Arabidopsis thaliana: one gene and its partners. The protein of the gene in region 1 interacts with the protein of each later gene in a pairwise test. Each region holds a gene or a part of one and is shown on either strand. Other genes may lie near its edges. The genes, in order: AT2G12646, AT4G36590 and AT1G21200.

Region 1 (10,744 bases):
TATCAGAGACGTAAGAGACCAATGGACGATGGTCTGATTCACCCAGCTCAAGGAACTCAGTTTCTGAAGCGGGATAATTGTTGTGCCATTCTGTATTTGCCATAGTGCGGTCCAAGCAGCAGGTGACTAGGTGATCTCCTCGTTGCCCAACCCAAGAGAATCTATCTCCTATCTGTTTTAGGCCTGTAAAGTCACAATTCCTAACCATCCTTCTAAAATCCTGGAAACTAGCCTCTGGTCTTACCCTTCCTCCCCTTTTCTCGTTATTGCCTAGGAGTTCATTGAAGTCCCCCATGATTAGCCAAGGGCTGTTCCTTCTATTAATTCCAATCCTCTCTATTCTCTCCCAAAGATCATTTCTATAGCTTAGATTGGGATGCCCATACACAAAGGAAATGTAGAAAGATGATTCATTACTTCGAACAAGGCAATCTACAAGATTAGGGGATTGAAATAAAACTGAAAGATCTACAGACTGCTTCCAAAGGAGTACTAAGCCACCATTAAGACCTACAGGTGGAACAGTTACATAAAAGGGAAATCCTAGTTCACAAGCTTTATCCCGAATGTCGTCATCCTGCTGCTTGGTTGCTGAAAGGCATATGATGTCCGGGAGATATCGTCGAGATATCTCCTTAAAGCGTCGAACTATGTGGTCAATGCCTAAACCTCGACAGTTCCAGCAGGTTGTCCTCATGTTGGAAGTGGTGGTTCAGGGCCCAGCGCGCCTCTCACTGTGGTTGCATCAACTTCAATGCTATCATCGTTGTTCTCCCGTACAATATTCGCCAGCTGGCTTGTGCCTACACCAAGGTCCAAATCGTTACGCTTACGGGTTGACGGTAGGGAGGTCTCCATGGTTTGCATATGGGATCCGTCTTGATTCATCGCAGACATGGATTCAGTCGCCTCAATTTTTATCTCCATAGAGTTGTCTTCGTCGTCACGCTTACGTTTGACACGATCTGTGGTAGTGTCAGGAGCCAAGTTGATCACACACTCAGAGTCCATGATAGCCAGAGGGTAGGCACAAGGTGGTAGAGAATTATAATGAGGGGTTCCTGAGATATCAAGGCAGTCATTAGCAGAAGATGGAAAAGGGTTAAAGAGCTCACCACCAGCATTCCCTTCCTCCTGAAACATTGTAGAGTTTGCAGATTGTAAGAGAGCATCATGGTTAGGATCAATATCTGCAAGATCAGCTTCAGCATCCTCAACCGGACCATTGTTGTCATCTTGGTTTACAGCATCCTGGTTTTGGACATTAACAGCAACATGTTCCAAACCCTCCAAATCTTCATCATCATTAATCTCTCTAATAACCACTCCTTGATTACGCCCTTGCGGAGCCTGGTCATCCTCATCGTCATCATCATCTTGTTCTTCTCCCCCATTCACGATAACACAGGCCCCTGAGTCATGGGTCAGCATCCCACAAACCTCAGAAAAGCCTCGAAGCCTTTCATATCTGAACCGGAAAAGTGTGTTAACACCCGCAGTGAATTGGAACTTCCTCTGAAACCTTACGGAAATAGTGATGTCCCAATGTACGAGAACACGAACAAAATCCACCCGCGCCACAGCCTCTACATCAAAATCAATTTTCAGCACTTGTCCCAGGGCCCGTCCGATGTGCTCGACGACGCCACAGTTGAGAAATTGGAATGGAATGCCTCTGATTTGGGTCCAGAAAGGAATGAAATTGAGGAGCGGCAACAAGGGCTCCCATCGTTGAAGAATCAGCATTTGATCATTGAAAGCCCACAGACCTCGACACAAAACTGATTCCAAGGATTCTTCATTTGGGAAAATGAATTGAAAATCCCGACCCTCCACTATGCGGCTGTGAACAAGTCCGGTTTTACCCCAGATTCGCGGCATAGAAGCGATGATTGAACGGAGGTTTTGTCGCCTTGGAATCACAGGACGCCCGAAAAAGGATGAAACGGTTTTCTGCGACAGCTTGGTTCACAATGTCTTCAGGTAAAGCAATGGGTTCGTCATTCACACCCAAATTGAGGTCTTGGACAGCCCGACGCAAATTGTCACCAATTTTTGAGAGATTTTGATAGAAGCGAAGAGGATAGAAATTTGCAGAGATGATATTGAAAATTGTAGAGATTTGTCGAATTGCAGATCTGCCAATAAATAGGCACATAAACGCAACCGTTGATGAAGCATCACGCCAGATCGTGGATCCGAACGTGGATGAAAACCAGAGAAGTGGTGGAAAAGAAACCACCCACTACGCCGGCGAAAGTGATGGAAACCGTCGTCCAACCGACGAGAAGAAGATGATAAAGTAACCGTCCCAAAATCGCATTTTGTGTCGCCATTTAATAAATTATTTTATCTATAAAACAAGATGTTACAAATGTATTTTTGTTGTTGGTAATAGTTGGGACAGTAATTAATAAGTATGAAATACACCGTGAAATAAATATATATACTTTTTTGTTATAAACTTATGACATTGGTGTATTATTTATTTTTTATGTTTTATTGGTAGAAACTTATGTTTGAATTTGATTACACTCCTGGTAGATTTTTTATAACTAAATCGTATTTAAGATTGTATAATTGTGTTTTGATTGTTAATTTTAAGATTTTATCTGTGATATATTGTCATGTATTAACCTCGATCCAAACCCGTCTTACCATATAATCCCGTCCCTTAAAAATAAACATCATATTCTTATTTTTCTTTTTAATAATACTTTTATTTTAAAAATATATAATTCAATATACACTGCAGGATTAATAATTTCTTCTTTTTAAAAAACCGATTAATTGTTGTATATAATACTTTTTGTTGTTATTTATTATAAAATTATGATTGATTGTGTATGGCTTCTTATTGGTTAGTTTTCAATATTTTTGTCCATTATTATTTTATCTTTTATATGGTTTTCCATATTATTTGGTTTTGTAAAAACATTTTTGCTTTGTTTTTGCATCATTTTATTATAACCCGACCCACAATAAATGAGCAAATGTTTCTTAATCGATTAAATTTTTTTTAATGATTTAATTTTGTTATATTTTAGATTATACATAAAAAATATATTTCATTGATTGAGTAATATATATCTGTTTAAAAACTTTTGAATCACAATATATCCAGAAACAATCTAAAATTTTATTAACAATAAATATTTTATTATAATTCAAAATAATATAAATATAAGATCAAATAAAAGTGAAATGAGAATCATATATTTATGTTTGTAGAGAAGTTTTAGGAAATTAGCTCAAATGTTTTATATTAGCATTAAACATCATATTTGATTTTCTTATCCAAAAATAAAAAGTTAAGATATAGTAAATAAAAAAAAACATATCCATACAAATGAGCAAATATGTACTTTAAAATTGTTAAGTAGATGTTGACGGACATGTTGAGGAATATATTTTTGATATGATGATTCATTTAAAAAAAAGAAATATTTTTAAATTTTTATGGAATTTAAAGTTTATATTTGTATTTATTTAAAATAAAAAATAAGAAAATATAATAAAATCATTATTGTTAATTTTACAGTTAAATGAGTTTATATATTTTTTATTTGGTGGAAGATTCTGATTGGTTAGAGAAAAAGGAGGTGAATAAAAGAATTCACCTCTATAAGTAAACCCAAATATTTTTCAAAAATTATAAAACAAGTTAAAAAAATTTGTATCAAACATATTTTACCCAAAACGGAAACAAAAGTTAAAATTATACAAATCATTGCATGTTTAATTATAATTGGCGGTTGTTTTATGCAGAATTGAAATTTTCAACAAAATTTAGTAGAAGATGTAAGATTTGTAAGATAAACTTTAATGTAAATTGCAAGGTAGTATTCCTTAATTTGATTAAACAGCTAATATATAAACATACATTAATACGGTGACGTATAAAATATAATTATCTGCCATAACAAGAAGTACCATTTTAATTGTTTTTTTTTTTACCGGTACCATTTAGACGTTTATGACATTTAAATAGAACAAGTTGGCGTAAGACAGAAGAATCTTTTTCTTGATGTTTTCTTCTTGGGTATTGTAATTAATAAATTACTACCATTATGATTAACCATATGCTCTGTACATTTCTACTCCTATTAGACTGAAATATTATATAATAAAGCATAAAATAAGTTTTTAGTACTAATACCACGACATCAAGAATTTGACGGTGTATAAGTTTCCACGAATCTAAAAATTGGTTCAACCAAAATATATGAGTTTTTAGTAGATAACATTTCTATCGGTAATTAAAGGGTGTAAGGATTGCATTACGAAAATTTGTCGCGTTCATTTTTATCTTTAGCCCAAGTAGGTTGCATTGCATAGCTTCTACTTGGAACACTACTTATTGTAATGTATTACTAGGCAATAATTTGACTAGTCAATCCATATCCATTGTTTATTTAATCTATTATGTCTAAATTTAAGAATCACTAACCTTATATAAATATCTACAACAAGCCTATGTAACTATTTTCTAACAAAGCATACATTACTATTCTATTCACAATGCTTGGACCGATGATACTTAATAGTTTATACTAGTTTTGTATCTTCCTCAATTGGTTAATGAACACCAATATGAGTCTTAACACATCTATCCTTCTCTCTTGTATTTGGTAGATCATAAGAGGAAGAAATAAGGAATTAAAATTGGTGATGGCTACTAGAGACTCTTCTTCACGGAGGGTTTAACCTAATTAAGCTCTTAAGCCAAGGAGATGACCCAATAAATATATGTTTAAAGTAGGAGACACGGAAACAGCTCCCACGTTCCTCACTTTCTCTCTCTTTTTCTTCCCTCTATCTCTCATCTCACCAACACTAATAAACAACAACCAAGTTTATATGATATTTAAAATGTGTAAAAGAGTTATATCTCCGAGGAATAATCAAATATAAGTTTTTTTTTTCTCTCTTTCTCTCTCCCTTGTGATCCTCCATAAATCCTATCATCAAGTACTCCCCTAAAGAATCCTTTTTCTCTTCCTAATATTACTCTTTGTAGTGAGTAGTGGCCAAAAGTTTCCATCTCCCAAAGCTGACTTTCAGTTGAGTCCTCATGGTAGGTTACTACTTCTTCAATTCTATACCATCTTAAGTAGTGAAATTACCTCAATCATCGTACCGAATTCCTTATATTTGTACCCTTTATCCTCATCTTGGCTCCTTGGTACTTAATTATAGATTTAATGGTGGATGTAGGAAACAGTTGAATTATGGTATGAAGTTTTATTTACTTATTTAAGATTGTTTATGAGATAAATATTTTAGAGATTTTGTAAATCATTTGGTAGGGAATTCAGAAACCGGCATGGTTGGATGCGCTATACGCAGAGAAGTTCTTCGTGGGATGTCCATACCATGAGACGGCGAAGAAGAACGAGAGGAACGTGTGTTGTCTTGATTGTTGCACCAGTCTCTGCCCTCACTGTGTACCCTCTCATAGATTCCATAGACTCCTTCAAGTTCGCCGTTATGTGTATCACGACGTTGTTCGGCTTGAAGATCTTCAGAAACTCATCGACTGCTCTAACGTTCAAGTAAGTAATCTATTATACATATATGTATTATCTCATATCTATATATGTATATAAATGGATTGGGTGTTGAATTGTGGATAGGCTTATACAATAAATAGTGCAAAAGTGGTGTTCATCAAGAAGAGACCACAAAATAGACAATTCAAAGGAGCTGGCAACTATTGCACTTCTTGTGACCGAAGTCTTCAAGAACCTTATATCCATTGCTCCTTGGGTTGTAAGGTTATTTCATCTTAACTATATATTACTTCTACATAATATTTGACTCAATTCTACTTGACTATATGATTCGCACTTAGCATATATATAAAATAATTAAATTATGTGATAGTCTAAACTTTATAGATGATTCGTTTCTATGATAGAAACACATGTTCCCCTTTTAACTCGTCCACAAATAGAAATACGAATACATCAACAGGATACTACAACAAGTATACTACCAAATACCCTGATTTTTGTTTTTCAAACGTAAAACATTTTTTATTTTACTTTTGGTTAAAATATTCACACTTTTTTTTTAGTTATCTAACCTGGCTGTCCTTTAAAATGTTTTCAACCCGTAAAGTTTGTTAGTTTCCGCAGATGAGAATCTCAAGAAAAAAAAAAGGATTTATTAAATAACCCGTATATGGCTCGATTTTGAAATCTTGTCCTTCTGAACTAATGTATTTAACAAAAAAAAAAACATGAAGAAATTCTATAAAGGGGAGGCTAACTTTTTTAATAAATAAGTCTATCATTGACCTTGCCATTGGAACTTGGAACTATGTAAATTTGGTGCATAAATACTGTAAATACTCCCATATCATTTGAGCTAGTGGTTTGGCCCTAAGTGTTTTAAGAAACCACCACACTTTCAAATCTTTTCAATGTTGCACTTTGTAATAAATATATCATGTTCTCAGAATAACATCTAAGCTTTTTGAGCATGTAGTAATCTATGTGATTATATAAAAGGTTTTGGTTTATATACATGTAGGTGGACTTTGTGATGAAACGTTACAGGGACATAACCCCATTCCTCAAGCCATGCCACACTCTAACCCTAGGTCCTGACTACATCATCCCACAAGACTTACTGACAGATGATGAAGTGGCGGCCTACGAGACTCCTCGATCAACTGTGGTAGACGGCGATGAGTCCATGAGCTGGTCCTCAGCTTCCTCGGATAACAACAATGCGGGTGCGGCGGCTGCTTATGCCGCAACCACCACCCATGTCGTGAGGAAAAAAAGGACTGGTTTTTGCCTTTGCGCTAAATCGGCTAATAGTTATAAAGAAGTTTCGGAGGATCCTGACGATATTTCTGCTTGCATCAATCGGCGAAAAGGCGTTCCTCAACGATCTCCTCTCTGTTAACGTACTCTTTTCTTCTTTGTTTTTGTTTTCTAATCTTCTTTATTAGTTTCTTTTCACCATATAGTCTTATATGTTACATGTATGGATTCTTGTCGTGCGGTCTCTCTAATAAAGTTTATAATCAGTTTTTTATTTTATTTTATTTTGCTTACGTAGATATTAGTTTAGCATACCTTATAAATTCATAAGAAAAAAATTATCTTATCGCATAATAATATGTTTCTTCTACTCTGGTATCCTCAATATCCCTAAAAGGCCTCAGCCAAGTATTTCTTTTGTCACTTAATATATATCTAACCTAGGTTGAAGTCAATGTAATTTGTCTTTGACATATGAAATTGTACATTTTCGGCTTTCATAGCTTAGATTATCGTTTCAGATTAAATAATATGGAGAATCTGAAATATGAAATTAGATTTGTTTTGGACAGCTCTGATGGTGACTCACGTGGCTCCTAATTCCGAGCTGTGGGATCTTTCATGTTGTTCTAATATTGTTTTTTCATAAGAGCTAATTTTTTTCTACTCATTTTATATATATAAAATACTAAAACTTGAACCCACGAGATTCTCAAAACAATATTATAAATATATACATATATATTTTAAATTGATATTTATTTTTATATTTGTAATTTATGTTAAATATAATAAATATAACTAATTCTGAAAAAATCAGACAGAATCCTATCAATATTGTGAAATAAATTAAGTATTGATTCGTAACTTTCTTATAAACAAGATGATAATAGAAACACAGAGTCTTAATGGTTTTACGCACTCCATTTTTCGATCCGGGATATATATGGGAGGAGACAAAGGTGAAGCTAAGCGAGCGGTCCCATACGCAGGCACATCAATAATAGATGTGAGAGATATAAACAGAGAGGTAGATATACACTACAAGCTTTCACTGGGCATGAAAATGTCGGTGTGGTTCGGTTTCAAAATGCCTTGGAGGAAAAAAAAACCTATGTTCATATCCCTCTATGTATAACATAGTAGTATTCATGAAAATACATATTGGAGATGTCCATATCTCCCGCTCTCTAAACCAAGAAGTCAAAGTTATAACACAAAGACTGCCTGGAATAAGAGTACTTGAGGATAGGATGGGGGATAAAGTCCAAATTTATCTAGATGTTAGACACAATAAAAGAGATGGATTTAGTTTCTTCATTTTATTTCCATCCAGGACAATCTTTTTCTTTATCGATATAACACAAGAAAAGTCATTGGCAAAATGCCAATCCTGAGGTACATTACCACAAGAAATGCTTAAGTTTACGTATTGTTAAGGTTTCATATACATATACTCTACTACTTTTAAGGCGAGTCGCAAGTACAACGAGGGTGATCTCTCGTGGTCTAGTATTCTGACTTGATTGTATAGTTTGCCTAATTTTGTAAAGAACCAAAGGGTGTGCAAAACAACTGCAACCAACCAAATTAAACCAAAACAGAAGTAAAATGAATTTCTTAATTGTGTGGTTTCACTATTATAAAATCTGAAAACAAACCCACAACCGAACCAAAACTGTTTTTTTTTTATGTGTGTCCAAACAAAAATGTTTTCCTAATTAAAATTCGTACTTTTAAGAAAACAAAAACTTTGCGGTTCAAAAATAAATTTCTCTTTTATTAATCAAAAAAAAAAAACTATATTTAAGCCAAGGTCTCACGTATAAAACCCTCCTAAATAAATAAATGGAAACTTTACAACGGGAAAATATCAAAAAGCGCAAATTTTTAAATTTAGGACGACAAAATGAACTTTCAAAACTATTTAAATCTTAAAGTTTAGTTTAACTTGACCATTTAGGACATGTCGTTAAGTTTCCATCAACCAAACAATCAGAGAGTTAAGTTTTCGTTAGAATTTCTTTTATATCAAAACGATGTCGTTTTGAACACTAGAAAATGAGGAGGAAAAACAGCATTTCAAGGGAATCAAAATGCAGACCTTTTGGACTAATAAAGGACATTAAACCATTGAGCTACGTTAACATTTTGCTATCTTACAGATATAGCGTATATTTTATATAATAAAGTAAGGTTCCTCAAAACTTATGATCTAAAAAACAGACAAATGGTGCTCTATTCATTCAACATGTGTCATTTTCCTTAAACTTAAATATACTATTTTCATATTCATTCAATCTAATAATATTATTGACAATATAATATTTTATTTCTTTTTAACAATAACCATAATCAAGAAAGGTCTACATGTACAACTCAATGAAGCTATTTTGGTTACTTATCTTGAGAAAAAGATAATTAAGAAAAGTCAGCCCTTTTGTAGCCAAATCCAGCAATAATTTACCACATTTTTTCTTTTGCTTTATAGGGGTTAACTCCTCTAGAATCTTTGGATTTCGTGGAGGGTATAGTGAGATCTTGTAGCTTTCATAGATGTAAGGTTGAAGGTCTATCTATTGAAGATTTGAAATGACACTGGCCTGATCTCTTTGGAGATTTCGAAAATCATATGATTGTTAAAACTTCATTGAACATCTTTCTTTCTGAAGGCTCCACTAGAGCATAGAGTGTAGATATACAACTCATCAATTGAATGTCCTATTTTCTCATGATTTTTTTCTAGGGTTGCTGTCTGGAGTGTAATTTAGCTTCATTTTTGCCTTTAGTAGGCGCAATCCACCTCTAAACTTATGATCTAAAAAACTCACAAGTGGTGCTCTGTTCATTCGACATTTGTCATTTCTCTTAAATTTAAATAAACTATTTTCATATTCACACAATATAATAATATTATTGATAATATAATATTTTATTTCACTTTAATAATAATCATAATCATAATTTATTACATATTCATTCTATAAAATGTAACTCCTATAATGTTTGACAAAAAATAACTTTACATATAAATACAATATAATGTATTAACTGTCATCTCGTTTATGTTTTAGTAGAAAACATATGTTTTTACATTACCAAGAAAAATAAATCAATATTTTATTACATTATATTGTATTAACTGCAATTGTGTTTATGTTTTTGTGGAAAACATATTTCTTTGCATTTATTGAAAATAAAAATATAAAAACACAAACAAATGTATTTAAAAAACATAATCATCATCATCATTTATTGCATATTAATTCTTTCAAATGTAATTTCCACGATGTTTGACCAAATTTATTAAAAACAAAACCACAATTAAAATCCATGACAAATTAATTTCTCTATAAATAGTAAGACAAAGTCTTAATCAAATATTATATTCTACCTCTCATATATATATATATTTAAATAAAATATTTTTTTTATTTTAAATAACTTTTATCGGTTTTGAAACAAATAGGTTGAGTTGAAATTTTGGAGCACATATAGAAGTGAAAAAGGGCTAAAACACCTTCTTACTTTTAGATGAGAAACAAGGTATGTTATATCTTCTTAACTTTCACCTTGTACTTCTTCTTCATGTTTTGAGGATTTCGCGAAGCCCGTATTCAATAGTCGTCTATGACCACACCTTGTAAACTTTTTTAAAAGTGAACATCCCTTTGCAAAACTCATAAAGCAACTATCTTTATTTCCTTGTATTATCTTAGATTCAAGTTGTGTGAACTTCCCTCTTTTGAGGATTAAGTGAATGGAAATTGACGTTTGGCAAAGAAAAAAGTTAAAAAAAATTGAACCAATGGTAAAAAGAGCTATGTCATGATGGATTGTAGAGAGTATATAAGAGTTTCTCAAGTGAGAAACTTTCTACACTTTCTCTCTCTCTTTCATTTCATTATTTTTAATTTTTTAATAGTGAGAAACTCTCATGAGAAACTCCCAAATAGAGATGGTCTAAT
Region 2 (9,767 bases), on another chromosome or scaffold:
AAATTATGTAGTATAATTAAGTGGATTAGATTTGTACTTAAAAATATGACAAAAATAGTAGAATATAGCCGATATTTTAAACTTATAAAAATTTCAAGTACGTACGTTCGAATAATCCTTATATCCATAATCCACTAGCTCAAATGGTGTGTTTTTGTTTGATATTCCTGCGAGAATATACTAATCAGTATTTGGTCGTTTTAATAATTTGAATGTGGATTGTGGAATAATTTCTTCTAACTATATTAATTATCTGAAGAACAATTATCTTACGTACCCGTGATCTACACAAACGGAATCTTATAAATATATATCTTTCGTCGCTGAGTGGAGGAGAACAAAACTTAGCAAACTTCAAACATTTTTTTAAAAACCAAAATTTTACACTAATGGTTTAGTCGTGGTTCGAGTTAAGAAAAAAAAGAATCTGTTTAGAACATGGCCCAATAATAGTTCCTATGAAAATATGCTTTTTGATTATTCTCCAAGCAATAATAAGCCCAATTATATTTAGGCCCAGATCTGCTTTTTGATTATTCTCCAAGCAAAGTAAACTTATACGGTCGAGATTTTATTATCATTTTATTTTTTGTCCTTTTGAAAAATACCGTTTAAACCCTAAAAGCTAGCTGCCACCGTGGGTTTATGGTCGGCAAAACCCAGAAATCGACCATCATTCACCGTCAATTTCCCAACTTTCATGAACCTTTAGCTCTATTTCTCAATCTCTGAATAAGGGTCAATCTTTTCTTTTTATCAAAATCGATGGCTGCTTCTAGATTGTGTTCCGCGGCGGCGATAGCTGCTGCGTTCACTTCAATGTCAATGTCTCAGAACCGTGCTTACGCCGATTCTTCTCGATTCCGGTTTCCTTTCTTTTCTTCTTCTCCTTCTCCTCCTCCGTCAGATTCTCCGGCGAATCAATCTTCATCGAAGTCTAAAGCAGAGCCTGATGAGCCTAAAGGATCGGGTTTTGATCCTGAGGCTCTTGAGAGAGCTGCTAAAGCTCTTAGAGATATCAATAGCTCTCCCCATTCCAAGCAGGTGACCCTTCATATCTATTTAGGGAATGAAATTAGGATTTAGCAAAAATGGTATGAAAAAATTGGATTTTGATCTGTGGAGATTGGTCTTTTGGTGATTGCAGAATTGGGGTTTCTTCTTAGCTTATTGGGTTCTTGGTTTTTCAATTAGGTGTTTGATCTCATGAGGAAGCAGGAGAAAACTCGGTTAGCTGAATTAACGGCAGAGACTTCTCATTACGAAGCTATTCAAGCACACAATGATATTGTGAGTAAACTTGAATTTTCCATTTTTTCTGCCATTTTTTTTTATCTGATTCTTGACATGATTGCAAAGTAATATGATTTGTTTTATGGGGCATTTGAAATGGGCAGGGCAGACAGCAGAAATTGGCTGAGGACCAGAGAAATCTTTTGCAGACACAGGCGCAAACCAAAGCGCAAAATCTGCGATATGAGGATGAATTGGCCAGAAAGAGACAGCAGGTTATTCTTTTTTTCTTATGTGTTCTCGTAGATGGATTAATCTTTCTGAAGTATAAAAATCTTACAAATGATTTTGGTTTGGGAGTAATGTAGACAGATCATGAAGCTCAGAGGCATCATAATGTGGAATTGGTTAAGATGCAAGAGGCGTCTTCTATCAGGAAAGAGAAGGCAAAAATCGCCACAGAAGAACAGATCCAAGCTCAGCATCGCCAAACTGAGAAAGAGAGAGCTGAACTTGAGCGAGAGACGATTCGTGTCAAGGCCATGGCTGAAGCTGAAGGTCGGGCTCATGAAGCCAAACTTACTGAAGAGCAAAACAGAAGATTGCTTATGGAAAGGATTAATGGTGAAAGAGAGAAGTGGCTTGCTGCAATCAACACAATGTTCAGTCACATCGAAGGTATGGAAACTGATAAATCAAGAAAAATATATCTTTTTGCTTTTGATTTTGAATAAGGAAAGATCAGTTCTTTTTGTTCCTTTTGCTTACTTCTATATGAAATTGGCAGGGGGATTCAGGACCTTATTAACTGATCGAAATAAGCTGATTATGACTGTTGGAGGAGCTACTGCATTAGCTGCAGGGGTTTATACAACTCGGTATGCATCTCCGAACCAAATAAGCTATTGGATATTATGGGATTCTCTGAACCAGTCTGATTTGACTCAAGTGATCTTAGATTCTTTTATCATTTTCTAATGTAATCTATTTCATGAATCTTTTTGTGTTTGACAGTGAAGGAGCTAGAGTTACATGGGGTTATATTAATAGGATGCTTGGACAACCGTCACTTATTCGAGAATCTTCCATGCGTAGATTTCCATGGACAGGCTCAGTGTCTCAATTTAAGAACAGGATCTCAGGGGCTGCAGCAGCTTCTGCAGCAGAAGGCAAAAAGCCGCTTGATAATGTAATTCTCCATACTTCTTTGAAGAAACGAATCGAGCGTCTCGCTAGAGCTACAGCAAACACCAAATCCCATCAAGCACCATTCCGCAACATGATGTTTTATGGACCTCCTGGTACCGGTAAAACTATGGTGGCAAGGGAAATAGCTCGGAAATCGGTGAGTTATTATCAAAACTATGGTAGTAGCTTTGTTAGTACCGTCTTCATGAGTTCTTAGATACAATTATTTGTTGCAGGGTCTGGATTATGCTATGATGACAGGAGGTGATGTTGCTCCCTTGGGATCACAAGCTGTTACTAAAATCCATCAGATATTTGATTGGGCTAAGAAATCGAACAAAGGCTTACTTCTTTTCATTGATGAAGCCGATGCTTTTCTATGCGAGTAAGATCTCCTTCTCTTCTTTACAAGGATTAGTGGATGTTTTAGCGTTTTAGGTTTTTGACAGTAATATGACAAAAAGATTGCAACTTTTTCTCTTGGTTTCAAGAAAGATGATTCCTTTTTCTTTGCAGGCGTAACAGCACTTACATGAGTGAGGCTCAACGTAGTGCTCTGAACGCTTTGCTCTTCCGAACTGGTGATCAATCTCGGGACATTGTTCTTGTCTTGGCTACAAACAGACGTGGAGATCTCGATAGTGCGGTTACAGACAGGATTGATGAAGTCATTGAGTTCCCACTTCCAGGGGAAGAAGAACGTTTCAAGCTTCTCAATCTCTATCTCAACAAATATCTAAAGATGGGTGATAACAACGAAGACACAAAACCGAAATGGAGTCATTTGTTTAAGAAGCTGTCACAGAAGATTACCGTTGAAGAAGACTTAACTGATAAAGTGATTTCTGAGGCTGCAAAGAAGACAGAAGGATTCTCTGGCCGTGAGATTGCAAAGCTTGTGGCTGGAGTACAAGCTGGAGTGTACGGACGAGCGGATTGTGTTTTGGATTCACAGCTTTTTAAAGAGATTGTTGAATATAAGGTTGAAGAACATCACCGAAGGCATATGCTTGCTTCTGAAGGTTTTCAGCCATTACTCTTCTCTTAGTCATTTGGATTTTGATTATACATGTCATTTACTTGATCAGAAAGAAGAATCTGATTGTTTTAAAATGAGTCCTAAAATTGAATTTTTAGATTAAACATGTTAAAGAGTTTTACAGAATCTTGAAGTCTTACATATGAACACTTCTCGTTGTTAACATTAGATTCATTTCTGTCTGATGAGGGTTTCTTAAAAAATTGTTTTGTTCATTTGTAAATCTGGTTTGATTTCAGTATATAACATTAAGCTTAAATAGCAAAATAAAAATAAAAATATAAGTAAAATTAAAGGATAAATAAATTTATTCTGGATACAAAAATATCCAAAAACAAAGGAAAACAAACGACGAATAAAATGAAAAACCAACCAACTGAAACAAATTAAAAGAAAAAACAAACTTAAGTCTCACAATACAAGAACAATCCTAACAGTAACCATAGCCAAAATAACGCAAATATTGATTAGGATGTTCTTCTAGCTTCAGACTCTAGCTCTGGTTGAAGTTGTAACTTGACATGTAGTTCATGTTGGATATCGGAACGAGAACTCCATCATTGTTGTATCCAAACATTGGTGGTGTATGATTGGGAAACACCATGTTTGGATTATAGTTGAATGCATTTCTTCTTTGATCAAAAAGATCAATGCCAACATTACCACCACCAATCACGCCAGAACTTTGACCAAAGTAATTCTGCGAAACATTTACTTGAGAATATTGAGACATTTCTCTTACCAGTTTCTTTTTCACATCTTGAAGAGCAGATATCAGCTGGTTGGTTTCATTCATGTCGAGATCTTTCACATCTTTTTCATACCAGTTTCCTACTTGTTCTCTGGATTCTTTCAATAGGTCCAAAACCATTCTCTTCTGTTTCTCCTTTTCCTGGTTTGCCAGCACCTGCAATGAGATTCATTTCATCATGTTGTGAAAAAAACGAGATATGGTTTATATATTTGAACATTTTGAAGAAAACAATCTAACTATGGATACCATTTGATATCTTTAACAATCTAACTATGGATACGATTTGAAAACAATCTAACTATTGATGGTCTCTTTTTCCCTTAACAAATTAAGTTATAGACATAGAATTGGCATATATATATATATATATATATATATATATATATATATATATATATATATATATATATATAATTCTCTTGCATTTTTCTTTAAAACAAAATTGTTTACCTCAGTGAGTATATTGTTGAGATATTGGATATTTCTATCCGGACGGGTTTCAACAAGTTGGAGATTGTTGTTCTGATGATGGACAATGGCAGAATTATGGTTAGGATTCGAAAAGCGATGAATGAGTTCTTGAACACTTGGATGGCCAAAAGAAAACACTTTCCCACCAGGAGAGAACACAATCAACAGAATCTCTGCACCACTTAATGTGCAAAGTTCACTAGCTTTTTTGAAAAGACCGAATCTTCTTTTTGAGAAAGTAACCTGAAGGTTGCTTTCGTTTTCCATTTTTTTCATCTCTATTTTCTGACGACCTTTGGTACTTCTCACCATTTTCTCAAAAATTTGAATAAACAAATGACAAATTTGATGCTAAGAAATAAAATATGTTCTTTATATTTATACAGGTGTATTACATATGGAAATGTAATACATTATAGGTCCATTATAAGTAAACATAATCCTTCAACCCTTAATTTTGCCAAAAAATTAATTTTCCAATTTGAGGAATATTTCATAATTATCTCTGAAATTTCTTAAGGACATAATTATCTCTAAAATTTCTTAAGGATATAAAATTCATGATATTTCAAATGCAATATCATTATATTAGTTGGTAAATGCATAACAGTTTGACAAATGTATGCACCAACTGCCCATGAGAGGCACATTAAAATTTTATGAGCTGTTTGTTAAAATACTTAATCTATATTTTTGGGAAAAATCTTGAACAAAATTATCCATTAAATTATTTGTTTGTATACAGCTAATGCAAGTAATATTTATACAGTAAAACAAAATTTATCTATTTTTGAGATATCACAATCATTACTAGATAAAATATACAGTTGTACTTTACATAATAAAAAAAATTATTAAATGAAATTCAAAAGATTTTGAGTTATGGGCCCAAATTTTTTTAATTTAGATATATACCATTTACTAGATATATTTTTCATAATGATAGTGAGTTATGTTTATTGAAATTAACATTTCTAAGATATAAATAAAATGATTTATACTCAAATATTGTTGATTTTTAACTATCTTTGTTCTTAAATAAAATGTTTGAATATTACAATAATCATTATTGATTCTTATAAATATTTTAAATTATTTTATATAATTGATTTTTTGTGAAAGTTTACACTATCTGACTTATCTTATTAGAAAACTTTGTAATTGTATCGTCAAAACGTTTAAAATTGGTGTCTTCTTCACCTCTCTCACTTTCGGTTGGGCTCATGCTGGGTTTCTTGTTGGGCTTAGTTTTGTTTTTTTATGGTTTAAATCAATTTTCTTGGTTGAACCAAAAAAAAAACAGTTTTCTTTAAAAATGAGATGACAAAAAAAAAACATTGGATTAACTAAGAAAGGTAAAAAAATAAACACTTTCTGATTTACCTTTTTACTGGATTATCCGGTTTGTAACCCTGCTAAGCGCATGGCTTCGGTTTTCTAAACCGGTTATTTTAATCTTTCCAAGTATTGAAACTTCCTCTACGCGACCGGCCACGTGACCTCGGGTCGGGAGACACTAACCCTACAAAATCGAACCACAAGTGGACACGTCGCAAGCACTTCCAGCATAACCGCCTCTTTAATTGCCACGTAAACATCGAATAACCACGTAATCATCGAATAACCACGTGTCTTACAATAACCGCTTATCTAGTGAAAGAAAGGAATGTGATCTCTCCCTCTCTCGCTCATCTATAACTAGAAACTTCCTCCATGAAGATTGGAACCAAGAAACAAAACAAAAAATCGGAATTTTAAAGAATAGGAATAATGGAGAGAAGAACGTTGATGATGATTATGATGCTTACGACGGTGGTGACGCTGACGTGGCAGAAGCAATGCTATGGATGGGGAACGGAGACAGCAGAGGATATGGTTAGAAACGAAGCAGAGCATGCTAAAAACGCAGCCGAGACCGCTAAGAAAATGGCGTCCGATGCGGCTCATGACACAAAGGACAAAACCGCCTCTTGGGCTGGTTGGGTTTCCGACAAAATTTCCACGTAAGCGTTAACTTTTGTTTAGGCATGATCATACTTCTATTTTGGATCTGTGTTGGTTTCTTCTAATGGAACCATCTTCTCATAGTGTTTGATTTCAAATTGTAAACGTAGATCTGAGTTTTGTTTTAAGAGAAATTTGAAATGTATATATATAAACGCATGTTACGCATCATTTGCATTTCAAACTGTGAAGTGATTTAAGAATGATAATATATAGATGATTGATCCAATATTGTAACAGAGGATTGGGAGGCAAGAAAGCTGAGGCAGAAGAAGCGGCTGAATCTGCGAAGAACTACGCTTATGACAAGGCTGGATCCGCCTATGACAATGCGGGTTACGCCAAGGACTTTGCATCAGACAAAGCCGGATCTGCTTACGATAGTGCTCATAACGCAAAACATTATGCTTATGATAAGGCTGGTGATGCAAAAGACATGGCCTACGATAAGACCGGTCAAGCCAAGTACATGGCTTACGACAAAGCAGGATCAGCCTACGAAAAGGCCGGTCAAGCCAAGGACATGGCCTACGACAAGGCGGGTCAAGCTAAAGACATGGCCTACGACAAGGTGGGATCAGCCTACGACAAGGCGGGTCAAGCCAAGGACATGGCCTACGACAAAGCAGGATCAGCATCTGAGAAGGCTGGTCAAGCCAAAGACTTTGCCTATGACAAGGCAGCTCACGCAAAAGACGCTGCCTATAACAAAGCAGAGGATGTGATTAAGATGGCTACGGATACGAGTGGTGAAGCTAAAGATAGTGCGTATGGAACATACGAAAGATTCAAAGAAGGATCTAAGAATGCTAAAGACATTGCATCGGATAAAGCTCACGATGTTAGAGAAACCGCAGGGCGAGCGGTGGACTATGCTAAAGACAAAGCAAATGATGCATACGAATCGGGGAGCGAAGCAGCCGGAAGATTCGACGAGGCAATGCATAAGGTTGGGGAGAGGTATGGTGCAGCTAAGGATTCTATGTCGGAGAACACAAAAGAAGCTTATGAGAGTGCAAAGGAGAAGGCTTCTGATGCTGCTGGTGAGTACGGTTCATATATGAGAGACCGTAGCGCTGAGCTTTAGAACTGAAAAAATTATAACGTATAGCCGTATAGGGTAAGTTTGCATTTAGATTTCAAATCTTCGTTTGTACAATAAATTTCTTATATATATGTGTATATCAGCAGTATATGTATATGTAAGAATGGTGGAGTTGCTTGTATTAGTTGCAAAATCAGATTCTCAATGAAAGGCGAGTTGTTTCTTTACTCTCGATCTATCAACATGGTAGATCATCTTCTTTTGTGTTTTGTTTTTGTTTTCTTATCTTTTGGTTAACAAGATCGGAAGAAAAGGTTAATTGTTTTGTGCCGAGGGAGTGAAACAGAGAGCATTGTTGCGAAACAGAGAAACTGAGTTTTTGCGTTACTTATTGATTTAATGTTGAAGACATTGACATAAAGTACCGAATAATTAAGCTAATACTTAAAGAGTGTGCATGCAATAATGCTCATAATCAAATAGTCTCATAAAGATTAATATTACATATTGTGATCATAGTAAATGACAAAAAGACAAATCAAGTAAAAACAAACCCAATAATTATTCAATCTCGACACAAATGATCCATACATACAGTATATCAGGATCAAATAGAACTTAATGTAGCATTTTAATTTTATCTTCCGAGTGAATAGATGCAAGAAACTTTTTGAGACGCCTATTGTAAACACAAGGTCTTTCCAATTGTACCAAATGGCCTGCCTTCTTTATACTCTCTATTGTTGCGTTCTCACCTATTTGTCTAAAAATCATAACGGCAAAAATTAGGATAACACCAAAAAATCCTTTCAAAATGGCAGAAATTATAAAATTATAATATCTTCAAACTTACTCTTTCATGTCTCTAGCCAATTCGAGATCAAAGATTTGATCACTTTCACCCCACAAGAAATGTATTTTCTGCATACACACATGAAATGCTATTATATAGAGTCTAAATCCTACAAATCATACGGATGTGGACATATGTTCATACGTACCCGTGGGAAATGAGGGATTTGCGCTTCCTTGTTGCTGACCACAACAGCCTCTAACAGTTCAGCTCTTTCTTTTCTGTTGTTAAACATTACCTACCAAGTTCACCAGTAAAGCTTAATTTAGGACCATACGTTCACATTTATTCAACGAAAAACTCTTAGAATATAGTATAATAGAAACTCTAGTTAAATCAATCATTGGTAGACAAGTATAGTGACGAAAAAAACATATGTTACCTAGAAAATAAATACGAGATGTAGTTGAGAGTAGTTGAACAAATTAAGCTAACCTTTGACAAAATAAAATATTTTTAATAGCTAACCTACCAGAAATGTAGATTTATCTAGAATCTATTTTTCGTTACTTACTTCTATTGTATATAATTTTAATTTTTAGGCAACAAATTGGAATTTTAATTTTAAAGTTCCAATTCATTTTCAGTTGATCGAATAGAGGTAAGTATACTTCGCAAGTCCCACCTAACTCACACAATCACTCTTTCTTGGAAACGTGATCCATATGAATATGTCCTTGCGACAGTAAAATATACTAATAATGTGAATTTGTGGAAAAATAAAAAAAAAGAAAGAAAAACTAACATGCTTTCTTACTCCAAAATGTAATCATTTGCTACGGAATTGTTATTTTCACTAAAGGAAAAGAAAATAAATAAATTAACTTTGAGTAGTAATAATCACCTCGATGTAGTCTTTGAACAATCGTTTAGGGAACCACAAGGGTTTATGCACAGCAATGGTGAAGAGAGCCTTAAGTCCCGTAACAGAAGTCGGTAACAAGAGATCCGTGGAAGAACTAAACCCTAACCGGTTCAAGCTCGCCTCATTAATGGTATCGGTCATTGTGGGAATCGAACCAGACACAACGATTGCTCTAACCATGTCCGGGTAAGCTTCAGCGATCTTGAAAGCCACCATGCCCCCGTAGCTAAACCCTACGGGAACAAACTTATCCACGCCGAGGATACGAAGCCCCTTGACCAAACAGTCGGCTTGAAACGCCGGAGACCGGTCCGA
Region 3 (10,894 bases), on another chromosome or scaffold:
ATATGTAAGTTTCTAGCATCTTCCTGTTACATACTTACTTGTATATACAAATACTTAACCTTGTGTACCTTAATAATTACAACTTTTTGCTATTATTCTGTAAGAGTTCTAGATATCTGTGATTCCAGCTAGACCGTACCCTAGGATTTGATGTTCTACTTCTCTCTCTAGTTAGAGAAGAATGGGAAGCTGCCAAATTGCCATTTTTATGATTCTGGTTGCTCGGACCATAATCACTAGTCATATTATGATACTCAGAAAATGAACCATAAATATGGAGTTCAGAGACAATCAGAGAACTGCATATGCAATTGTCTACCACCAATTTCTGTTTTTTAACAGCGATGTTGCCTTATATGGCTGCTAATTTCTGTATATACATTTTCCAGGATGATTCTATCTTTAAAAGGTGAAGCTGCTAGATCCGAAGATATGTTTGCGCATATTGAAGAAATTCTGATATCTGTTAGACTTGCCTTTTTGAACTGCTTTCTGGATTTTGCTGGTAAGCTTTTTACACCAAACTTCCGTGAAAGTACATGTATAGATGCCCACATAAATGTGTGGGCAGACAAAAAGAAATTTTTATGTTAATATGCTAATTGATTTTTGCACATATCAGCTCACTTGGAGCAAATTGGTGCTGACCTTTCTCAACGCACTACAAAGCGAGAGAGTTGGCAAAATGGATACTCCAATGACCACCAGGAAGAACAATCAATCAATGCTCCTGAAAGTGTTGTTGATCCTCACAGGCAGTTGTTGATGATCTTAAGTAATATAGGTTACTGCAAAGACGAACTTGCCTCTGAGCTTTACAACAAGTACAAATATACCTGGTTACAGTCTAGGTGGGTTTCTTTTTTATTTGAATTCACTGGTACGATCGGCAGAGTAGTTGGACAAACTCAGTCATGCTTAGATGTCAGAACCTTGATAATTAATGCCAATGTCTGAATGACAAACACAGTCATGGTTAAATGTCTCAACCAAGATAATTGGTTCCAATATCTGAACTTTCCTAATCAAAACTTTGAATGTAAACGTAAGAATTACTATATGGTGTTATAAAATTTACTGGTTATCATTGTGTCTCTTAAATGTTGCAGGAGAAATGATGAAGACATCAGCGATCTTCAAGATCTAATGATGTCTTTCTCTGGTCTTGGAGAGAAGGTTCTCGAACATTACACTTTTGCTAAGGTAACGATTAATCTGCTTGATAGTTTAGTAATGTTCTCGCTGTGTCTTAGAGAATTGATGCACCGCCATTGAACAATGGAACAAGGATTGTTTGTTTTCAAATCATTCCTACTAAGTTTGCATCTATTTCACTTGTACCTAGGCAAACTTGATCAGAACAGCCGCCACAAATTATCTGCTGGACTCTGGTATTCAGTGGGGGGCAGCGCCTCCAGTAAAAGTAAGTAGCAAGTTTACTCTCAGTTGTCACTTTTTTTGCGCCTTAGAAGAACCAATGAATAGACCATTTTAGCATTTTGTCTAAAGAAACGATAACTAAACCTTTACTTCAGGGCATACGAGATGCTGCTGTTGAGCTGTTACACACTCTTGTAGCTGTCCATGCAGAGGTAATACCATTGCTTCTAACCATTAGATATTCAAATTTCTACAACCATTTCTTCTAACCACCACAATTGGGTCAAAGCCCGTTAATTTAGTACTAAGAATTATAATTGCAGGTATTTGCGGGTGCCAAACCACTCCTGGACAAAATTCTTGGCACTTTGGTTGAAGGTCTGATTGATACTTTTCTCAGTCTTCTAGACGAAAACAGATCTGACGACCTGAGTTCAATAGATGCAAATGGTTTCTGCCAATTGATGCTTGAGGTAAAATCTGTTTGTCTTCTCAGTTTTACTTGAGTGAATGGATTAATAGTTAAAAAATTGTGATGCTGATCTGCTTTCACAAACTGGTGGATGCAGCTCGAGTATTTTGAGACGATACTGAAGCCATATTTGACGGTTGATGCAACCGAGTCTCTAAAGTCTCTGCAAGGAGCTGTGTTGGAGAAAGCTATAGAGAGTATAAGCGAGACAGTTGAGAACAACCCGGGAGGGCATCAAAGGAAACCAACACGTGGCAGTGAAGATGCAATTTCAGATGACAAACAATCATCCGTATCCCCAGATGATCTCCTTGTAAGAACATTTTTCATTAACCACCACTTAATATTTACCATCTTCAATACTTAAAACCGCTAGCACATTCAGTTAAAAGCGGGTTTGCTTTGTTACTGTTGCTGCTTTAGGCTCTTGCACAGCAATGTACAAGCGGAATGCTTCAACTGGAGCTAGAGAAGACCCGTTTGAACAGTGCATGTTTCATTGAGACCATTCCGTTGGATCCAGTGCCACCAGTAGCCAAAGCTGCCTACTCCAGAACATCAACTGATTCTCCAAGCAGAAACTATAGAGAGTCACAACCAATGGGTTCTCCGGTTCAAGCCAGACCCAGACGAAGATAAGACTTCTCTTCTCCATTGTTACTATGCTCGAAGCGTGTTGGTGATCATGACAAGTTATATCTTACGATAGATACCTCAAAACTTTTAATTTCATCACTAATCTTTTTTTTACTGTAAATTTACATGCTTACAATTACATTAATCTTTTCTCATGAAATCAATCTTGTTTGCGTTTTCAGCCTCCTGTACTGTGAATCAATTTGATGGTTTGGTTAATCAAAATGTCTTTCCTAGGGTTACACACATCTAAATATGTCACCAATCACTATTCATAATAGAGCTCGAAATCAATGAGTTTGAGGAAGTATACAAATCTTTAGAGAAAACTACACCAAACCAGAAAACGAAACTAAATCCGATCGTAAACGGTAAGAAAGTCACAATACGAAGTATGTTACACTGATTCTACTATAACGAGGCACCCATTACCAAGATTCGAATGCTACATTCGGTTTCAATGTTTGACAACAAAGAAAAACATACCACACAATTACAAATTCAAAAGCCAAGTAATCAGAAAAAAGTGCTTTTACTCAGCGCCAGATTTGTTAACTCCGATCCCAGTACACAAGAACATTTAGGTCGTCCTCAAAGGCGGTGACACCAATATCACTCCATCTCCTCTCACGAATAGAAACGGTACCGTTCGCTTCGTTGTCTGACAGAAGCAAGTTACATCAGCAGGAGAAGAACATATGATTCTACACTAGTCTAATGAGAAGTTAGCACATCACATTTGGAGCGCAAACAACAAAATTCAAGTTTGAGAAACTAAACAGAGTTACTATATTGGTAATGAACACTCTCTATGTAACCAGCACTATTAACTTCTACATGAATCAAGCTCTCCTTTAAACTCAAACAGAGACATAGACAATAGATACTGTGATAGCTGAAATATTTTGAACCCAAAAACGTTTATCTTACTACTAAAGCCTACATAGATTAATAAATCTTATTGAGCTAAGAGAATTACATACCCGAACAATCTCTTCATATGTCTCGTCGTCGATTTCTATAGTCGTAATAACCTCTTCAACATCACCCAGAATCATATTCAAATGCTGATCAAAAGCCTACACCACAAAAACAACAACAAAAGTGAGAGTCTTAGAATTTAACAAGATTATGAGGTTTTCTACGCCAATTAGCTCTCGCTGAGGCTTTCGAAACTGAAACTCAACAAAATGGGTCCAAATTTTGATATTTGTGAAAAGAATAAAAACTAGTGTTAAATTCAACGAATAAGGAATTCAAAAAGGAGCTCAAAATCGAAAAAGATCACATCTGGTTACTGGTTTCTGGAATCCGAGTGGTTAAGAACGTACGTGAAGCTTGCCGCGGAGTTCACGGTCAGATCGGAGCTTGACATAGATCCTCTCTTCGATACTCAACCGAATCAGATCGAGTGGCTCTCTAACGGTGGCGTCTTCCTCGACTGACATTTTCTGATTATAACTTCTCCGAGGGTTTTGAAATTGTAGTGCTCTCGGCGATATCTCTCTGACTGAGCTCAAGCAATCGCCACCGTTGGTTCCCTAAAAACTTCAAACCAACATCTTACGATTCGGCCTTTTACTATGTTTTTGGGCTCTCATATCGGCCCAATATGGTTAGCTCTTTTTTTTTTTTTCGTCGAAGTATTATGAAGATAATAAATCATCTAATGCAAATAAATCATGGTTAGTGGAACTTAACTATATTAAGTCCAATCACAAGGTATCAATTGGTCATTTCATTACACTAAATTTACTATAATCTTTATATTGGTTGTTTTAATCAAAAAGCCTTTTGTCATATACAGAGAGAGAAGAGAAACCTGAGGAAGCTGACCGGAGAAGACGAAAGCAAACTTTTTTCTGTGAGTTTTACTTCCTTTGACTCATCTCTCATATATTTACCGCTTTATTTTCTTCATCCCGATTCCTCTCTGCTTCATTCTCTCCTAAAGTTTCGATCTTTAATATTCCCCTAAGATCCAGTACTAATTTTGTTGACAAAGGTTTTGACTTTTTGAGATCTGTTTTCTCTTCGATTTCTCTGATGAATTAGGAAGAAATTTGATCCAAAAATGGATGGGAATTTTCCACAAGGAGGTGTAGTTCGTAGTGGAGCTTCATCTTATGGAGGATTTGATTTACAAGGTTCTATGAGAGTTCATCACCAAGACTCCATGAATCAGCAGCATCGACACAATCCTAATTCTAGACCACTTCATGAAGGTCTTCCCTTTACTATGGTTACAGGTCAAACCTGTGATCATCATCAGAATCAGAACATGTCTATGTCTGAGCAACAGAAAGCTGAAAGAGAGAAGAATTCAGTGAGTGATGATGATGAACCAAGTTTCACAGAGGAAGGTGGTGATGGTGTTCATAATGAAGCTAATAGATCAACTAAAGGATCTCCATGGCAACGAGTGAAATGGACTGATAAGATGGTGAAGTTGTTGATTACTGCTGTTTCTTATATAGGAGATGATTCGAGTATAGATAGTAGTAGTAGAAGAAAGTTTGCTGTTTTGCAGAAGAAAGGGAAGTGGAAATCTGTTTCTAAAGTTATGGCTGAGAGAGGTTATCATGTTTCGCCGCAGCAATGTGAGGATAAGTTCAATGATTTGAATAAACGGTATAAGAAGCTTAATGATATGCTTGGTAGAGGAACATCTTGTCAAGTTGTTGAGAATCCTGCGCTTTTGGATTCGATTGGTTACTTGAATGATAAAGAGAAGGATGATGTTAGGAAGATTATGAGTTCTAAACATCTTTTTTATGAAGAGATGTGTTCGTATCATAATGGGAATAGGTTGCATTTGCCTCATGACCTTGCTTTGCAGCGTTCGTTACAGTTGGCGCTTAGAAGCAGAGATGATCATGATAATGATGATTCTAGGAAACATCAAATGGAGGATCTTGATGATGAGGATCATGATGGTGATGGTGATGAACATGATGAGTATGAGGAGCAACATTATGCGTATGGAGATTGTAGGGTAAATCATTATGGAGGTGGTGGTGGTCCTTTGAAGAAGATAAGACCAAGCCTTAGCCATGAAGATGGAGATCATCCGAGTCATGTGAATTCTCTGGAGTGTAATAAAGTCTCTTTACCTCAAATACCGTTTTCTCAAGCTGATGTGAATCAAGGTGGGGCGGAGAGTGGAAGAGCAGGTTCGGTGCAGAAGCAGTGGATGGAGTCGCGGACTCTCCAGCTAGAAGAGCAGAAGCTTCAGATCCAAGTTGAATTGCTGGAATTGGAGAAACAGAGATTCAGGTGGCAGAGGTTTAGCAAGAAAAGGGATCAAGAACTCGAGAGAATGAGAATGGAGAATGAAAGGATGAAACTTGAGAATGATCGGATGGGATTGGAGTTGAAACAAAGGGAATTGGGTGTTGAATTATAACGGAATTGGCTTCACTTCTCTTGATTGGTATATAGCTTTGCTAAATGAAGTCTCATTTTCTGCTTTTGTAAGCTTGCTTTGATTGGAATGATCTCGAGACTTTGATGTGAGAGATCTTTGTGGTTGCATCAGTGATGAAGTTTGTGAATGTAGTGAGAAAGGAGTGGTTAATATAAGCAGCTCTCTAAGGTTTGTTTTAACTCTACTTCTCAGTACTCAACTGGTTAAGGTTATTTTCATTGTTCTGCTGTATTGTTTTCGACATCTTAATCCAATGTGTAACAAATATCTCATTGTTAAGCCAGTTTGAGAATGAGTTGTTGCTAACTATTTGCTTCTAAGAAGATTGAATACTTTTCGACATGGAACCTTAATACATATTTTCTATTGGACGTGGATCCAGATAACCTTTAGCAGTTTATACTTTGGATCACATCACATCTCCTTTAGTGGAAAATGAATCAGTTTGACGATATTGAGTTTTCCTGAAGAATCTTGAAGCTATATTCTAAAGGTTTCTTTCAGTTTGCAGTCACATGTTCTTCTTTTGTCTCTTTCAACATAAATGTAAAGATGTTTCTGACTAAAAAGCATGTTATGTTTGCCTGCTTTAGGTCCATCTCATGCTTGCGCTTCTTTTCAGTTTTTGTGTTTCATTTTTTGGCTGGTTAGTGATGAGAAGCTTCTTTCCTTTCTGTTTTTTTCAAATTAGAGTTTTCTGGATACTTATTAGTTACTAACAAAGAGAGGGCTTCTTCGATATTAACTTTTAAGTATCCAGAAAACTCTAAATTTGAAACAAACTCATATTTTTTGGTCTGCAGGTTATGTGTAAACGTCTTTGACTCGCTGCTTCATACACCTGTGCAATTAAAACCTTGAAAATTTTAATTTCCTAGCATGGAGAATATAAGAAGTCAATCAAGGCGTAGCATGAAAATTTTCATTTCCTGAGGTTGGAGCCGGAACCACAAGGGAAGGAACTCTAGTATCTGCCTTGGTGTTTATGCTTTGTTGCTTCAATACGCAAAAATGCACCAGAAGAAGAACTCTTTACACCGAGTATGTGATCCCCATTCACGCTGATAGCATATCAAGTCATGAGCAGCTGCAGTGCTGGAGACGTGTAACAATTGCATTGGTCAACAACTTACACCTGTTTGTAGCGAACCAACCACAAATCCAGCTTAGCTGGATAAGTCTGACCCTGCCAAGGTAGGAATTCTGTATCCACTCTCTGCATTTCAAGCTTTCACTATCTCTTTGAGCGGCTCCCACACCAAACTGACTTGCAAACTAAAGTAAACCTCAAAATAAAACAGAGCGTGTTATGGTTAGTAATCAAGTCTCTTCCAGAGGTGGTTTAAGTTTAACTATCATATACATTAAAAAAAAAAAAAAAAACAGTTTGATGTGATAATCAATGTTAAAAAAAGGTAATATTGACAAAGACTCGAGTTGACGAGAGATCAAATGGCTGTTTCGTTATTGTTAAATGGGTCTCTATTCTATATTACGTATTCTTTCCATTTGGTGTTTTCTTGTACAAGTTACCAACCGTTATGGTATTTGACTCCGTCAGAAAAAAAAAAACAAATTGTTAAAGTGAAGCAAACGTAGACGTTGAGATATTATATGGCATATGAAGCATACTTCAACGCCCCCTTGTAATAAAGTAGAAAATGTCTTAGCTTTGTTATTGGACAATGGATTATAGTATTGTAGATTTAGGAAGCAAACTAGAAGGTGAAATGAGAATTGTTCTCCGAAATTAAATAGATGATATGATGAAGAGCCCTGCGTAAAGATCAAGTTTGGAGAGAAAATAAATAAAGAAGATGAAAGTGCAGCGTCTGTTCTTAGTAGCTATTTTCTGCCTCTCTTATATGCAGCTGGTCAAGGGGCAAACCTTGCCTCGTTGCCCCGAAAAATGTGGCAACGTTACACTTGAGTACCCTTTTGGCTTTTCTCCAGGTTGTTGGCGTGCCGAAGATCCTAGTTTCAATCTCAGTTGTGTGAACGAGAATCTATTCTATAAGGGCCTTGAAGTGGTCGAAATATCTCACAGCAGCCAGTTACGCGTCCTATATCCTGCATCCTACATTTGCTACAACAGCAAAGGAAAGTTCGCTAAAGGGACTTACTACTGGAGTAATCTAGGTAATTTGACTCTCTCCGGCAACAACACGATTACTGCATTAGGCTGTAACTCGTACGCTTTTGTGTCCTCTAATGGAACTCGAAGAAACTCAGTTGGATGCATATCAGCATGTGATGCTCTTTCCCATGAAGCAAATGGAGAATGTAATGGTGAAGGCTGCTGCCAGAACCCCGTCCCTGCAGGGAACAATTGGTTAATAGTCAGATCATATCGCTTTGACAACGACACGTCAGTGCAACCTATCTCTGAGGGTCAATGCATCTACGCCTTTCTCGTTGAAAATGGCAAGTTTAAGTACAATGCTTCGGACAAATATTCTTATCTGCAGAATAGGAATGTGGGGTTTCCTGTGGTCTTGGATTGGTCTATTAGGGGAGAGACATGTGGGCAAGTTGGAGAAAAGAAATGCGGTGTGAATGGCATATGTTCCAATTCTGCTAGTGGGATCGGGTATACATGCAAATGCAAAGGAGGTTTCCAGGGGAATCCATATCTTCAAAACGGTTGCCAAGGTACTTCACAACTTGTTTTCTTTCTATCACTTCAGTTAATTGTTTTCCTCATACATTTCTTGTTGGATCTTGAGTCTTTTTTTTTAACTTGGGCCAGACATCAATGAGTGTACTACTGCTAATCCTATCCATAAACATAACTGCTCGGGTGACAGCACCTGTGAAAACAAGTTGGGACACTTCCGTTGTAATTGTCGATCTCGTTACGAATTAAATACCACCACTAATACCTGCAAACCTAAAGGCAATCCTGAATACGTTGAATGGACTACAATTGTTCTTGGTAAGCACCTCTCTCACTGATTCTCTATTCTTTCTTTTCTGAAACAACTTACTCTAATCATTGTGATATAACCAGGAACCACTATCGGCTTCTTGGTCATTCTGCTTGCCATTAGCTGTATAGAACATAAAATGAAGAACACCAAGGACACCGAGCTCCGACAACAATTCTTCGAGCAAAATGGTGGCGGCATGTTGATGCAGCGACTCTCAGGAGCAGGGCCATCAAATGTTGATGTCAAAATCTTCACTGAGGAAGGAATGAAGGAAGCAACTGATGGTTATGATGAGAACAGAATCTTGGGCCAGGGAGGCCAAGGAACAGTCTACAAAGGTATATTACCGGACAACTCCATAGTTGCTATAAAGAAAGCTCGGCTTGGAGACAATAGCCAAGTAGAGCAGTTCATCAATGAAGTGCTTGTGCTTTCACAAATCAACCATAGGAACGTGGTCAAGCTCTTGGGCTGCTGTCTAGAGACTGAAGTTCCCTTGTTGGTCTATGAGTTCATTTCCAGTGGGACCCTTTTCGATCACTTACACGGTTCTATGTTTGATTCTTCTCTAACATGGGAACATCGTTTGAGAATGGCTGTAGAAATAGCTGGAACTCTTGCTTATCTTCACTCCTCTGCTTCTATACCAATCATCCATCGCGATATCAAAACTGCAAATATTCTTCTGGATGAAAACTTAACTGCAAAAGTAGCTGACTTTGGTGCTTCAAGGCTGATACCAATGGATAAAGAAGACCTCGCAACTATGGTGCAAGGAACTCTAGGTTACCTAGACCCAGAATATTACAACACAGGGTTGCTAAACGAAAAGAGCGATGTTTATAGCTTTGGGGTAGTCCTAATGGAACTGTTATCAGGTCAAAAGGCATTGTGCTTTGAAAGGCCACAGACTTCAAAACATATAGTGAGTTACTTTGCCTCAGCCACGAAAGAGAATAGGTTGCACGAGATTATTGATGGCCAAGTGATGAACGAGAATAATCAGAGGGAGATCCAGAAAGCTGCAAGAATTGCTGTTGAGTGTACAAGATTGACGGGAGAAGAAAGGCCAGGGATGAAGGAAGTAGCTGCAGAGCTTGAGGCCTTGAGAGTCACAAAAACCAAACATAAGTGGTCAGATGAGTATCCTGAACAGGAGGATACTGAGCACTTGGTTGGTGTTCAAAAATTATCAGCACAAGGCGAAACCAGCAGCAGCATTGGCTATGATAGTATCAGGAATGTAGCAATACTGGACATTGAAGCAGGCCGCTGATATCTCCATCCAACTCTCACTGTTGGCCACATTCCGTTCGATATGATCAGGTTTCTTCCCGCATCATACTCATAGTAAACATCTAATAAAACCCTGTAAATAAAAAAGATAATAATCAAAAGCTTGAGACATTCTTGTTTCGCCAGATCATCAATCGTTGTGTTTTATAACTCTTCTTTTAGTTTGATTTATTATCTCCTTGATTCTCCTCAAAAAACATGTAAAAACAGTGTACCAAACATTGCATTCAGGAAATGTATGGATTGGTGGTTTAAGATCATCAATCATTGTGTATCTGTGTGTGTATATAAATCCCTTTGGTATTTGAAGATTTAGAATTCACTCAAAATCAAGAATTCATGAACTTGAATCTATGTTGATGTCTCGTTACGGTGAAAAAAAAAAAAAAAAAAAACTCAAAGAAACTACAGAATCTAAAGAAAGCATCAAAAGAAAACAGAGCATGTTGTGTGAGGAATATCTAAAACGTAAAATGTTATTATGAGATGGAACAACTACATAGGACCAGGATAACTGAAAAAGGCATCAAAACAAAACAGAGCATGTTGTGAACTTGCGATCAGGAAATAACTGTTACGAAGGGTAACAATTCCCAGCGATGTCAAGAAAAGAAGAGAGGACAGAGAGAAGTTGACGTAGAAGAAGTTCAAATGATTGACCTATGAAGCAATAATGGACATTGAAACCGGCCGCTAATCTGATGTGTTTAAGAACACTATGCTTGAGATCATCTTTTCTCGTGAAAATATCAC

Evidence for each region.
Region 2: the proteins of AT2G12646 (region 1) and AT4G36590 interact in a two-hybrid assay, tested with the Arabidopsis thaliana proteins (one large-scale study listed by BioGRID).
Region 3: the proteins of AT2G12646 (region 1) and AT1G21200 interact in a two-hybrid assay, tested with the Arabidopsis thaliana proteins (one large-scale study listed by BioGRID).

What each region holds. Positions count from the first base shown.
Region 1 is NC_003071.7:5,163,353-5,174,096, reverse strand, and holds AT2G12646 (PLATZ transcription factor family protein), read left to right. Parts: upstream 1-4,793; 5' UTR 4,794-5,074; coding exon 5,075-5,077; exon of another isoform or gene 5,078-5,231; coding exon of another isoform or gene 5,232-5,234; intron 5,235-5,309; coding exon 5,310-5,555; intron 5,556-5,636; coding exon 5,637-5,777; intron 5,778-6,537; coding exon 6,538-6,918; 3' UTR 6,919-7,113; downstream 7,114-10,744. UniProt on the Arabidopsis thaliana protein: Probable transcription factor that plays a central role in mediating RGF1 hormone peptide signaling leading to the production of reactive oxygen species (ROS) in roots to modulate meristem size and root growth, probably via oxidative post-translational modification of the transcription factor PLETHORA (e.g.
Region 2 is NC_003075.7:17,257,193-17,266,959, forward strand, and holds AT4G36590 (MADS-box transcription factor family protein), read right to left. Parts: upstream 5,036-9,767; 5' UTR 4,998-5,035; coding exon 4,665-4,997; intron 4,368-4,664; coding exon 3,954-4,367; 3' UTR 3,745-3,953; downstream 1-3,744. Other genes in the region: AT4G36580 (AAA-type ATPase family protein), read left to right, coding at 766-1,044, 1,195-1,290, 1,398-1,508, 1,602-1,911, 2,021-2,111, 2,248-2,578, 2,658-2,806, 2,938-3,469; AT4G36600 (Late embryogenesis abundant (LEA) protein), read left to right, coding at 6,456-6,688, 6,930-7,776; AT4G36610 (alpha/beta-Hydrolases superfamily protein), read right to left, coding at 8,353-8,497, 8,588-8,655, 8,736-8,825, 9,432-9,767.
Region 3 is NC_003070.9:7,416,921-7,427,814, forward strand, and holds AT1G21200 (sequence-specific DNA binding transcription factor), read left to right. Parts: upstream 1-4,227; 5' UTR 4,228-4,352; intron 4,353-4,543; 5' UTR 4,544-4,562; coding exon 4,563-5,894; 3' UTR 5,895-6,083; exon of another isoform or gene 6,084-6,476; intron 6,477-6,597; exon of another isoform or gene 6,598-6,691; intron 6,692-6,718; 3' UTR 6,719-6,753; downstream 6,754-10,894. Other genes in the region: SEC5B (Exocyst complex component SEC5), read left to right, coding at 1-4, 390-505, 623-851, 1,110-1,203, 1,346-1,423, 1,536-1,592, 1,704-1,853, 1,950-2,165 and 1 more; LSM3A (Small nuclear ribonucleoprotein family protein), read right to left, coding at 3,069-3,149, 3,472-3,567, 3,820-3,936; WAK4 (wall associated kinase 4), read left to right, coding at 7,733-8,567, 8,665-8,850, 8,926-10,121.